Linked DNA regions of Tamandua tetradactyla. The protein of the gene in region 2 purifies or fractionates together with the protein of the main gene of each other region. This does not show direct contact. Links are inferred from orthologs where the notes say so. Each region holds a gene or a part of one and is shown on either strand. Other genes may lie near its edges.

Region 1 (7,239 bases), on a different chromosome or scaffold from region 2:
TTATACTCTGTCCTTTAGCTTCTGCTCAGTCAAAAAAACCTCTCTTGATCATATATGGTAGCCCATGACAAACTCTGGGATCTGTCCTGTAACCATTTGCTGAAGAGTGCTTTGAAAACCATTGCTTTTTTATTTCTTTGCTTTGTATATATGTTATACTATACAATAAAAAAAAGTTTAAATTAAAAAAAAACCCTCTCTCAGGAACAGCTAAGACTCCAGTGCCTTTAAAATCCTACCTCAAAAGATTGAAAAGTAGGAAAGATACTATGAAGAGGGGCAGAGGAGTTTGAGGTTCACAGGATCGTTGGGGAAGACAGCTTACTGCCTATAATGACTGTGATGGGAAAACAGGAGAAAATGATCATGGAGGTGCATCCAAGGAAAGAGCACAGGATATGAAACATCAAGCCTGTACATGCTACTGGTTCTGAATGGAATAAGGAAAAAAGGTGAGATCATCAACTGTGAATATGGGCAAGGACAAGCTACACTAACAAAGACAATGGGTACTACTTGTATTATAGGATGTTCAAGTGACTGAATCTTGGGTCTGACCATAAGATTTAAGATTATCTGCCAGAGAAAAGACAGGACCAAAAATCAAAAGCCCCTAACAATAATACAGGGAATCAGGAAAAGCAACTAAAACTATGGGTTAGTGCAGTGATTACCAAACTTTTTCTTTTTTTTTTTTTTTTTTTTTGGCTCTCTTAGGACAAAAGATACCTCAGTTCATCTACCCCCAAAAAAAAGCCTACTTTCCAATGCAAAAAAAGAACTTGGAAATAACAATAAAGCAAGGTTTGGAGTGAATGGTTAATTTATATTTGAACCATAATGCATATTTTTCTTAGTCAAGATACCAGAAAAAATAAAGGCTAAAATTCAGTTGATAGACAAATATGAATCTGTACTCAGTGGAGGGTTAAACTAATAAGCCACAACAAACAAAACTGTTAACAAAACTTGTCATTTACCATATAAAACATGAACAAAAGCAACTGAAAACCAAAACCAATTTAAGACAACACTGATAGTGCTCTGGTAAAGAAAACTTCCTAAAAATTTTGGTAATCTTAACTGCACACATCCACTAGGAACTTGGCTGGGTTGCTAACTGCAGCTCAGCAGCCAAATTTCTTAATAGAAACATTTTATTTTATGAAAATCAAACAATAACTATTAAATATGCACTTGGTAGTATTCCATTAAGTAACCCTTAGTTTTTGTAAAAACCTATGAAATGAAAATCATTCACTCTTAAGAACTTAAGAAAAGGAAAAAAGAAAGGAGCACGATGGTCTATAGCATAATGTATGGGCTAAGGGGACAGAGGTAAGGGAAGACGATGCAGGACTGCACCAGATTAAAGAACTGATTCGAAAAGGGAGCCACAAGTCACTTTACAGAGACAAAAGACAGATTACTGAGGATGGTCATGTCCAGAGATAGCAATGGAAGAACTCTGTTAAAGCACACTGAAGAAGAAAGCTTCAGATGAAGGTAAAGCTGAGGAGCAAAATCTCCAGCGGTCCCTCTTTCATGAGACAACTCTCTCCAAGAAAGAGCAGGCAATGAGTAACTCTTTTTGAGTAGCTGTGACCTAAGACTGCACAAGGTGGGTAAGATAATTATCTACTTATTGGCAGCAGGGAGCTCAGGAGGCACCACAGGAAGGACTGAAGATGAGTTAGCTCTAGGGCATTAGTAAACCGAGAAGGGGGAAAGTAGTTCTAAATTGGAAAGTTATTATCAACAGGAAGGTCAGATAAATCACAGACCCCAACTGAGGCAGAACCATAGTTTAGAGCCTAGAAATCTGGATCCAGCCTGCATAGGAATCTGGACTTCTCCACCTTATTTCCTGTGTGACTTTTCAGCAAGTCACTTAATCTCTTTGTGCCTCATCTGTAAAATAAGAGCAGTAACAGTACACACCTAGTAGGACTGTTTTGCGGTTGAAATGAATATTTGTAAATCACTTAATACAATCTTTTGTACTGTATTAAATGACTACAATGCATACGATAAATGCTCCTTAATAAACTGCGATAGGCCAGGGTTTGCTTTGATCTCACTATATGAAACAGAGAAGGGCGAGTGAAGTAATGGTAGTGGGCGGGAGTGGGTGCGCGGGAGAGGGATAGATTTTTTTCATCAATGAGAATGCCATGATCCCGGGCCTTAGGGAGGGTCCGTCGTCCTGATTGGGATCGGTGAGCACTCGCTCCCAGCTGAGGGTTGCTTGTTGAAGGGGCCTTCCTTCCAGGGCCTAAGATTTTCAATGTCTCACTACTCAGAAGTGGTTGTGATTTTAAGGACGCAAGAGTTTAATTTCCGAGCAAGAGGCCATGGGGTGAGATTCTGTTTTGTCTGACGAGAAGGACTCACGCCTAGGGCGGGACAGAGTGCGAGTCGGAGGGAAAGGGTGATATCCCCAGGGGGGGAAGATGTACTGAGAGCCACCATCTGTCCGGCGCTCTCTGGTTGCCCGGCGCTGGGCTCGCCTCTAAGTTGGGAAGGAAAGCCTGTCCAGCCCCGAGGGAGGCAGGAGGAGCCTCCTCAGGAACCCGGCTGTGGGGCAGTCGGGAAGAACCCCACGTCGAGGTTGCGGCGGGAGACCCGCCTCACCGAAGGCGGAGGTCGCTTGCAAGTCTTCCCGAAAGAGGCGGGTCACGTCGGCCACGCGGACGACTGGCCTGACAGATGGACGCGAATGAGGCTTGCCTGCCCGTGCCGCCCGTCGGTGGCCCCTGAAGAACCCGGAATACCTGAGCGTGGGCCCGATGCAGGCCGTGTCGGTACTCTCGATCTCTCGCAGGATCCGCTCGTGCTCTGCCGCTGTCTCCAGGCTCTCCGCCTCCGCCATCTTACCCCAATTCATGAACTGGGGGCGCTCGGTTGCGCGTCCCCCCCTTTAGCCCGGCCCACCTTTCGCTCCCTCACACCGCCTCCCAGCCGGAGCTCCACTGCCGCCCCAGCCTCCGGACACCCGCAGAACGACCCCTCCCTCAGTCTCGGCACGCCCTTTGCGTCATCACGTCTGGCGGCCTTCCGCGCGATTCGCGCTGGGAAGTGTAGTTCTACTGGAGATCCTCGCCTAGGCGCCATCCGTTTACTCATGGATTCCACAAATAGGTATTGAAAGCTCTCTGCAAGCCAGAAACAGTTGAGGACACTACATATACAGCGGTGAACAAGTCAGGCAATGGCATTAATCCAACAATTTCTTGCTTGACACCCTTGCCACAAAGTGCAGAGGTCTGTACATGACTGATGAACGCAAGGGGAAACTGTGGTATATACATTCAATGGAATATTGAGCAGCTGCAAGAAGGAGTGAAGTTGTGACGCATGCAACTAGGTGAATGGACCTTGAGGAGAGTTTGTTGAGTGAAATAACCCAGAAATGAAAAGACATATTATAATGCCTCACTAATATGGACTAACGACAATGTGAAACTCTGAAAATTGAATTTGAGAGCATAGGTTATCAGAGTCTATTGTAAAGGTTCCTAGATTGTAAGCTCTTACGTCAGTCACGTCTATTCCTGAGTTGTAACTTTTATTTTTAAATTCTGGGGTGTAACACTCTTTATGTATAACCTGATGGTTCCCTGGAACTTTGGGTATCTGTGTGACGCCTGAGACTCAGAGCTAGAGTGCTGCAGCTATGAAAGTCAGCATTACCCCATATAGCAACTGTTTAAAAAGCCCAAAAACAGATCAGACTTCGATAATAGATATGAAGCCGATCTCATCAGCACTAAATCAGACAAAAGGGTAAAGGATGCTATTGACTGTATTTTAAAACTTCAACTTCTAGGTCAGACCAAAGAAAGAGATTTTGGTACAAAATTTATATTTTCTGTAGCACACTAATTTAACTTTTATAGTCAGCTTATTCAAACACCATAATTACACAGAACCTTGACTAGGGAGTGAGATCTTGTTGGTTTGTACAGGTTAATGTGATGCCCTGATTCTGGGTAGAAAATAAAAAGGTATTTGCTAAGTCCCTTTGAGGGACTGGGGGAAAAGGAGGAAATATTTCCACCTGGGGAAGACCTTACATTCTTGGAAGCATTGGGGTCTACCAATTTAATAGGCTAAGCCCTAAATCCTTGGGCTTGCCCATATGAAATTTATTTCTACAACAGAGAATCTAAAACTACTTATAATTATGCCTAAGGATCACACCCAGAGAACCTCTTTTGTTGCTCAGATGTGGTCTTTCTAAGCCAACTCTACAGGTAAACTCACTGCCCTCCCCACTACATGGGACATGACTCCCAGGGGTGTAAATCTCCTTGGCAATATGAACCTGACTCCTGGGGATGAGCCTGGTCCTGGCATCATGGGATTAAGAAAGACTTGTTAATCAAAAGGGGGAAGATAAATGAAACAAAATTAAGTTTCAGTGGCTGAGAGATTCCAAATACAGTTGAGAGGTCATTCCGGAGGTTATTCTTATGCATTATATTGATATCCCTTTTTAGTTTTGGTGTATTGGAGTAGCTAGAGGGAAATGCCTGAAACTGCTGAGCTGTAATCCAGTAGCCTTGATTCTTGAAGATGATTGTATAAACTATATAGCTTTTACATTATGACCTTGTGATTGTGAAAACCTTGTGACTGACAAGTCACAAAATAAGCAAGAAAATAAAGACAATAAATAAATAATAGGGGCGATAGGGGGTATGAGATGTTTGGGGTGTTCTTTTTGCATTTACTATTATTTTTATTCTTACTGTTATTGTTTATGGAGTAATGAAAATGTTAAAAAATCTATTGTGATGATGTTCCAGTTTGCTAGCTGCCGGAATGCAATATACCCGAAATGGAATGGCTTTTAAAGGGGGAATTTAATAAGTTGTTAGTTTACAGTTCTAAGGCCAAGATAATGTCCCAATTAAAGCAAGTCTATATAAATGTCCAATCAAAGGCATCCATGTAAAGATACCGTGGTTCAAGAAGGCCGATGAACTTCAGGGTTTCTGTCTCAAGTGAGAAGGCACATGGCGAACATAGTCAGGGCTTCTTTCTCAACTGGAAAGGCGCATGGTGAATAAGGCATCATCTGCTAGCTTTCTCTCCCAGCTTCCAGTTTCATTAAGCTCCCTGGGAGGCATTTTCCTTCATCTCAAAAGGTCACTGGCTTGTGGACTGTCTGCTTCGTGGTGCTGCAGCATTCTCTGCTCTCTCCAAATCTCTCTCATTCTCCAAAATATTTCCTCTTTTGTAGAAATCTAGTAAACTAATCACGACCCACCCAAATGGGTGGAGACACACCTCCACCTAATCCAGATTTAACCACCCTTGATTAAATCACATTTCCAGGGAGATGATCTGATTACAGTTTCAAACACACAATACTGAATAGGGATTAGAAGAAATGGCTGCCTTTACAAAATGGGATTAGGATTAAAACATGGCTTTTCAAGGGTACATACATCATTTCAAACCAGCACATTCCACCCTCTGGGCCCTAAAAAAGACATGTTTTCCCCAGATACAAAATACATTCATTCCATAACAATATCAGAAATCCTTAAACCATTTCAGTAGCAATACAAATGAAATACAAAGTTAGAAACAGTACAAACTCCTAACAAAGTTAGCTACAGGCATGGTCTGTTCTAAGGCAAACTGCTCCTCTGTCTCTGGACCTCTGAAAACTCTTAACAAGTTGTTTGCTGCCAACATACAAAGGAGGAACAGTGATGGGATACATATACCCATTTCCACAGGGAAGAAGGAACCCAGAGGTCACTGGACCCATACAGTTTTGAAAACTCACAGGTCAAAGTCCACTATAGATTTCAAAGACTTAGAATCATTTATCTTCAGGTCTTTAGAAAGTAGAACTCCTACCCTTTCCAAATGCCTATGCAGAGGCCTGCCTCTCTCTGAATGCAATCTTGGGGGACACTGGGAAGACCACCTTTTTCTCAGCTCCACCCTCTCCAAGCACTGGGGCTGCACAGGCTCTCTGCCATCTCTGGGGCACACACTCAACCCCTCCATGTGATGGCAGCCAGGCTCTCCCCAAACCCCAAGAAATGTGCTTCACCCTCTCCAAGGCCTGAGGCGGCATGACTCTTCCACTGCAAAGAGGTAGAAGGCCCATCCTCTGCCTTCAGGGCAAATTCAATCCACGAGATTGCGTGGGTCCACTTTCTTGGCCCGAGGCCTCTTGACTTCAGACCCTGGTCACCATGGTTTTGCCTCTGAAGTTATTTTCCCTCCAATGTGTCCCTTCTCTGAACCCCCCAGTCTAGACTGGCATCAGTCAGTTTATACAGGTCCCACAGCACTCTCGTTGGCTTTCTATGCAGTAGCCTTGGATCATACCCATCAGACATAAGGAGTTTCCACAAATTCTTCCTGGGTAACTGCATGTCTGATCCTGGCTTTCTCTCAGATGGCTGACTGGTTTCACATTTGGCCAGATCCTCAAATGGGGCACCATTCTTTTGGGTCTCCCCTCCTGGAAGCCCAGAATTTTCCAGTAACAGCAATTTCTGGTTTCTCTGTACCCAAGAGTTCAGTTCTCAGTTTATCTCTTTCCTGTCACAGTTCACTATAAGCTGCAAGGAGAAACCAGGCTGCACTTTCCACATTTAATTTGGAGATCTCTTCTGCTAAATATCCAAGTTCATGGCTTTTAAACTCTGCCTTCTAGCCAAAGCCACTAGTCAAATTATCTGCTATTTTAAAACAAGGCTCACTTTCCTTCCAGTCTATAATAACACATGCCTCATTTCTGTCTAAGGCTTTATCAGAAGTGTCTTTAGAGTCCACATTTCTACCAACAGTCTCTTCAAAGCATTTGAGGCCTTCTCTATCAAGCTCCTCACAACTCCTCCAAAATCTTCCCCTTATCCATTTAAAAAGCTGTTCTAACATGTTTGGTATTTGCAAACAGCAGTAGCACCCCACTCCTGGTACCAAAATCTGTTCTAGTTTGCTAGCTGCCAGAATGCAATATACCAGAAATGGAATGGCTTTTAAAAAGGGGAATTTAGTAAGTTGCTAGTTTACAGTTCTAAGGCTGAGAAAATGTCCCAATTACAACAACTCTATAGAAATGTCCAGTCAAAGGTATCCATGGAAAGATACCTTGGTTCAAGAAGGCCAGTGAAGTTCAGGGTTTCTCTCTCAAGTGATAAAGAACATGGCGAATACAGTCAGTTTCTCTCTCAGCTGGAAGGGCACATGGCAAACAAGGCATCA
Region 2 (7,064 bases):
GTATTTTATGTGTTGAGTTTGCCTAGAAAATTAAATTCTCTTTATAACACTGTTTCTATGGAAAAATGAAGAAATTATGAATGTCAAATGAGTTGCAACAAGTTTTTAAAACACAACTGATATTTCTGTAAAGTAGATCTCCTATATTTTACTCAATCTGTGAAGCTTCTATCTTTGCTCCAACTCCAAAAATTGCTTTCTCAAAAAAAATCATTCTCCTGCCTCCTTCATCTTTTATGACTCCCTCTTTCCTCTAATCTTAGCTTACCTGTTCTCTTTCAGCTGAATTTCTTTTCCCACCTAGCCTGGAAGCAGTGCTCCTTTTCCTATATTCACACTAAATTATTCAATAATCTTACCCTGTTGGTTGACCAACTGATCCTTTATGTTTTACCAATCTCCTTAAACTGTCTCTATAGTCACTTAAAAAAAAGCACATACCTAAGTTCTCTGAATACACTACAAATATCTAAATCCAGCCAGTCAGACTTTCAATGTTGCTCAACAATTCTCTAACATTTAATATGTTATTTGTTGCTTGCTTTTCCCATTCACCATCTCTGTTGTCGCAAATCTTTATTACTCTTCCTTCAGCTCCCAACTCTAGTGTCAGGTTCCTCATTCTCTGCAAATGACTTCATCACCTACTCTGCAGAAAATATAGAGAACATGACGTACAATTCTCCCCAATTGCTTTCTTCTGCATTTCTCTACATATTCACCCATCCTAACCTCTTTTCCATCTATTACTAAATACTTAACATGCTGTAGGGCTTAGATAAAGTGTTAAAAGCTCTAGTCCGTCCTATATCCAAGCCACATTGAACACTAGCCAGTTTAGGTTTCTATCTCTGAGCTTTTTGCTCATGTAATTTCCTTTTCCTGGAATTCTTTTCTCCTTTGGAATTCTACCCCATCTCTTTTAAGATACCAGTAAAATGGCACCTCTTGTGTGAAGTAGTCACAAAATAATAATTCCACTTCTACTTCTCTAAAATTTTCTTTTTACTCTGTGAACACTGGACTTGCCAACAGTATTTTCTAGCTAGCTGTATTCTTGAGTAGCTCTTTGTAGGCAAGGATCATGTCTTATTCATCTTTGTATTCCTAGAACTGGCACACTGCACATAATATACATATTATAAATATTTTTAAAAAAACACCAAATAACATAACTACAGCTCTCCCAAAGTTCAAGTCGCACATCTGCAAGCAACTGTCCAGGTTCAAAACCTCAGTCATATTTCATTCCCTTCTCCATTGTCAACATCAAATCTTTTACCACATATTGTTGCTTTCCTCCTGTACCAGTAATTTATTCCTTCCTTTCTTTTCCCACTGCCACTACAGTAAATTAGGTTCACATTACCTATGTCTATTTAATAGTACAGCATACAGTTATATCTTCGCAAGCTTCCACAATCCCCAAGTTTCTCATAAATAAATAATCTTAAAACATAGCTTTCATCACACCACACCCTTGCTCAATAGTTTCCTAATGTTCCAAAGATGAATATTCTACTCAAGCACTCTGTTCATTCCAGGCTTTAAATTTTTGCTCAGGTGCTTTTCCATGCAGGGAATGTTATCGCCTCCCTAACCAAACTCTAATTACTTTTATAGTTTATGTGAAGTCAAGATCTTAGGTACAAATTGATCTCCCCTCTCAATGTCTATAGCATTTACTACATTTATTAAACAAGCAGGCGCTTGGTGACTAATTGGTTCTGAGATCATAAATTCCTGGATCTCAAGAACTAACTGTAAAAAAGGGAGGGGGTGTGGGGGAGAGAGTGAGCAAAATGCTCTGTCAAAGTTTGGGTTTATGGTAGGTACTCATGAAACACCTCTTGAGATAACATGAACTGAATAGTACACACTGGTCAAATAAATGGACTAATGGTGGCCAACATTTACAACACAGTCCCTCTCAGGTCAAAAGCAGTAACTGAAATGTATGGTAGGTGGTAAAACAAGAGCGGATTGGGCATACCTCATAAAGGAGTTAGGCATAATGAAAAGACCCCTCATTTGTTCAGCAAATATTGATGCTTACTAGGGGCCAGGTTACAGTAGTGAACATGACAGACATTCAAGAAGATATATCCCTTCATGGCATTTATATTCTAAGGATCAAATGATAAGCTCTCCAGACTTATGTACTCTCCTGTAAATCAGTGAGTAAATCACTTAAAGTCCTCCAAAATTATTTCCCAGGTCTATGTCTGACAACGTTCCACAGGCAGTAGTCCAACGCTCACTCTGCGGTGGATTTACTCTCTGTGGTGAATTTGTCTGTGTGACAGCTTGTCAGTGAGTGTCCGTGGATTGGATCCCGTACGCTGTTGAAACATTTTAGCTCGTGGCGCACTGTCACCCAGAACAAACAAAAGCGTACGGAGTCAGAGAATTGTACTCAAGATATTTTAGAAGAAAATGTGGGTTTTGACTAAAAAGTGGAAGACTGTTACACCTCCCTTTCCTGGTCCACGCCAAAGCACGTACGATTAGGGCCGTTTTGCACAAATGAAGTCTGGTTCCTAAAAGGCAGATCCGGAAAAGGATGTGCGAGGACTGCCGCCCCTGCTACATATTCTCCTAGGCCCCAGAGAGCAAGAAGGGGAGTCTTGGCCGGACCCAGCGTCCTACCCAGAGAGGTGGGAAAGGAAAAGAGGACCTGGCAGCTGATGGAGCTATGCTCCGACCCGGGTCGCCGAGCCAGTAGCGGACTGAGATGCCACCTCAGACCCTGAAGCCCGCCCGCTCGCCTGCCCACCGCCGCAGGGTCTACTAGGCAGCCGCGGCCGAAGGCTTACCGCAGGACCGGCCCAAGCCCGCCTGCACCCAGGCGGGTCCTCCAAGACGGAGAAGGGGTGGGACTGAGGCGATGACTGCTACGGGAAGCGCCCCTCAGTTAAGCAGTGAACGGGAAACTGTGGTTCTACTACCACTTCCCATATCCGGACACGTGACAAACCTCAGAACCGGAAGTGGGCCCCGTAGAGAAGGAAGGAGAGGCGGTGGGAAAAGGGGAGTGGCCAATGACGCGACGGGGAGCGGCACCACCCGAAAGACGTAGAGAGGCGGGACCTGGCGCTGCCAGAAGGGCGTGTCAGGAAGGGCAGGGGCGGGGCGAGGCCTTTTGGCGCGCAGGCTGATCTGTGATTGGGTGCTGCGCGATATTTACTTTCTCTGGAACATTTATTTATTCACATATTTGCAGCAATTCCCTTCAAAAGAGTCCGATTAAATGTGTGTGGGTTTTTTTGTTTTGCATTTGTGAAGCTCGATTAACTCTAGACCCTTGCTACGCAAAGCATGGAGAACGAGTTAAATCGGAATCTTCGGGTTCGGACCCAGACAGCAGTACATCTGACAGCTTCCCAGATGACTTTAGTATGTAATTGAAATCGCTAAACATTGCTCTAGTGATCTCGATATTCAAAAATGTGCTCCACGGGCCAGTTTCATGGGCACTACTTGGGAGCATTTTAGAAAATACAGCCTCTCCAGCCCGGTGAAGATAATATTGAATCTGCATCCCAACATTTAACTTTTAGAAGCACAGGTGATGCCAGTGTTGCTGTTCTCAAGGCAGATGATTCATTGATTCCATAGCCCTGGCAAGTGTTTTATTTTCGGGTACTTTGATTCCAGAGGTGATTCAGATGTGTAGCCTATCCTAAAAAAATTCACAGTGCGTTAGATTAGTCAAGGTGTAGATACAAATAAATATAAAATAGGATACAAAAATAAGTGACAGAAGAGAGCTCCGGGCTAGATAAGCGTGCTGGAAGTTAAAAGGGGCGATTTATTTCCTCCTGTTTGACAGTCTTTCCCAAGGGACTGCAAGGATCCATTCATAATTCATTAACTGAACAAACAACCAGGGCTAATTTTGTGCCAGTGTTAGCTGTTGAAGATACAAAGACAGGAAAGTCACCGAAGAGGAGGCACACTCTCACCGGGGAGGAAGAATTAAATAGACGGATAAATTACAGTTTAATGAAATAAATCTGACAACAGAGGTAGAAAAAGTTTGTGCACCCTGAGAATGTACAAGAGGGAGTAACTCACTCTGTCAGGGATAGATTTACTGAGAAAGTGACAAATAAGCTGTGCAAAGTATCTTTCAGTGTTTGTCTGAAGATAAAATTCAGTGGGAAAAGCATCATAAATAGGTGGTCTGTTTGCTGTGGAAATCATAATGTTCCAGTCACACTGCTTTCGAAGACTTCATTTTCATGGATTGACTCCCCTTTCAAAAGCATGATCTCTATCTAGGCTTTATTTCTCTATAAAGACCCTCTCTGTCCCTATTTATTTGCATGTTTACAGCCCTCCTCAAAATTGAGAAATAAATTGTATTCCAAATGTATTTACATACCTTGAGCTTTTTCCCTGAACTCCACGTTTGTAGATCTAATTGTCTCCCCAGCATTTCCACATGCGTGTCCAATAGGTGTCTGAAACTTAATGCATCCAAAAACGAAATTCTTTTCTATTCCCTCCCCTCCTAAATTCCCCCCAAATAAAGGCATAAACAAGGTTTATGTGCCAATAGTTTACTTGGGATTATGAACCCAGGGAGCAAAAAAAAAAAAAAAAAAAGGGAAGGAGGAGGGAAAGTCAACATAAGCATATGTTATTGAGTTAGCCACTATTATTTTCTATTCCCTAAGATCTTCTGAAAAGTGCTATGCAATGAATCTCAAAACTGTCCACTGAGGAGAAGAATGGAGAAAGCATTTATCTGTTGGCTCCTGTCCCCTTTGATCAAAGGTTAATGCCCCCAGGATAATAACTATTCAGTACTTCCAAATTACACAATTGTTAATGCCAAACTGGCTCCCACCTCACAGGAATCGGGAAGTGAGAGGAGAGCAGTTGCCATGTTGGACTTGCCGAAGGTTGATCAAACCCTACTTAGAGCAGTTTGCTGCAGCAGTGGTTAGCAAAAGAGGATAAGGGGGTTTGAAGTAGTTCACAGGTGTCCATTTCAGTTCACTTCTTGAACCACTCAGATCTGCTTGTGCCCTTCTTTAAATTCTGTCCTTCATAGACACTCCTTCAAGGTTGCAGAGATTGCAGCTGCAATTTAATTTAATACAAGAAAATACAAGGGATTTAATACAAGAAAGTTAGTGGATAGTCTTCAGTCCTTGCTCTACACTGATGCCCAGACCATATTTGCATTCATTAACTCTGTCTTCTACTACCCATCTAACTTTCCCTCACCCTTGGGTAGCACATCGTCTAATCTAGGTTACTTCCCTAGTAAAATAGCCTAGACCTTATTTTCCTTGCACTGGTTGGGGCATAGTTACTGCAGTTGGCCTGTTCAACGTATCCCTGGGCACAGAAACACTAAGATACATTCTAATGAATTCCTTAGATTACAGATATGTTCATCCCTGCTGCTATTGTATAGAATATAGCAACAATTCTAGCTCCTTTACTAATCACAGCTGGGTACTCCTACTAGTACAGTAACCAACTCCTTTCTTTGCACCTTGTTCACTGCCATGAAAAGACCAAAGTAACCAAGTAATAGTGAGAGTTTCAAGTCCAGTGAAATCCATACTGTGTATCCAGATGGAAACCTGAATCCCAGAGGGAACCATTTATTCTGACCTAGCGAAGTCTAAATTTGAGGGGCAGGAAACACAAATTCTGTTGGTGGGTCACTGGGAGTGATAATAGGATCACTTAGCCTGAGTTTCTGCAGTCACGCCTTCTAGCTATTGGAACACTAATTTGGTTAATTCAGTGCATTTACCAAATCCTGTGGGACAATACCTCAATCCACAAGGTGTGATCCCAAGCAAGCACATTAGCTAAGGCTGTAATGGGTCATTCCATCATTTTATGAGGCTGGCTGCTTCTGGGTGATTAATGATATGGCGTTATCAGTGGATTTTGTGGTTATGTATGTCTTGTCACACTTTCCCTTTCTTATTTTTTGGTCGCAAGTAATGTTGATAAGAATTGCTATAATTCCTGTGATTGTGGATGCTGGCAGTGGATGCAGGCAAGAAAGACAAACTCAGGAGTTTTTAAATATGTTTACCGCAGGCCTCTTCTTCTTCTATATAGAGTAAATCATGAAGTACACTGCTCCCAACTCTGTCATCTTGGAAACTCCCCTTCACCATTGTTCTTTAAATTTATGCCTGAGTGGGGCCTTAGAACTCCAATGTTAGCTACTCACCAACATAACGGGACAACTCATTTTTTGGACCAGGCTCGAATTTTTTCATTTTCATTAAATGGTCATGTAAAGAAGGATTTTATAAAACTTAACAGTAGCTAACTTTTCTTATGTAAAGAAGGATTTTATAAAGAAAAGAGTTATGGGCCCCATCAGGCTAAAACAACCCGGGACTTCCCAGGGGCGGTTATCTGCTGCCTTTGTTATGCAAGGTTATCTGCTGCCTTTGTTATGCAAGGTTTTCTGCTGCCTTGGTTATGCAAGGTTGTAACTGCCGGAGAAAGTTTATCTAAGAATGCAACTGAGAAGGTTGAGTAAGGGAGTTTTGCATGAGACAGCTGCTTCTTGCAAGAAGCAGCTCCCATGACTCATGCGCGAAAAATGTTTGTTATCTGCTTCTCGCAAAATGTTCGTTATCTACTTCCTGCATAAAGCAGAACCTGTAACTAATGTTCAACCCTCAAACCCCACACCCTTATCCTGGCCCTCAAAAGGCTTCCCAAAACCCAGGTTCGGGGCTCTCTGTCCCTGCGTGTTCAGTGAGCCCCACGCATGTGTGGTAAATAAACCCCTTGCGTGTTGCATGAGAGAACGTCTCTTGGAGTCCTCCTTTGCACGGCAAAACTCTCAAATTCTTACAGTCATAGAGAACTTCCAGGAAGCCATAGTTGTGAGATGGTTGAGCAGGAGACATCAGTGATACAGGAATAAATGCCCTGGGAGTCAGAATGACCCATTCATGTAATTTGCTTGAGTTTTCTGGATGTGCTCAGGTTCAAGCCTATTCAGTATCATATTTCAGTAGATTTTTGCTATCCCCATGGACTTGTGACTTGGTGGGTTTGATTATATC

Evidence for each region.
Region 1: the proteins of EXOC1 (region 2) and EXOC6B purify together in Homo sapiens (affinity purification with mass spectrometry; 3 studies listed by BioGRID and IntAct, counting the BioPlex papers as one, with this or other methods). This does not show direct contact. The link is inferred for Tamandua tetradactyla from reciprocal best matches to the Homo sapiens genes EXOC1 and EXOC6B.

What each region holds. Positions count from the first base shown.
Region 1 is NC_135343.1:46,428,381-46,435,619, forward strand, and holds the start of EXOC6B (exocyst complex component 6B), read right to left. Parts: upstream 3,018-7,239; 5' UTR 2,888-3,017; coding exon 2,775-2,887; intron 1-2,774. UniProt on the Homo sapiens protein: Component of the exocyst complex involved in the docking of exocytic vesicles with fusion sites on the plasma membrane.
Region 2 is NC_135345.1:56,285,798-56,292,861, reverse strand, and holds the start of EXOC1 (exocyst complex component 1), read right to left. Parts: upstream 3,007-7,064; 5' UTR 2,817-3,006; intron 1-2,816.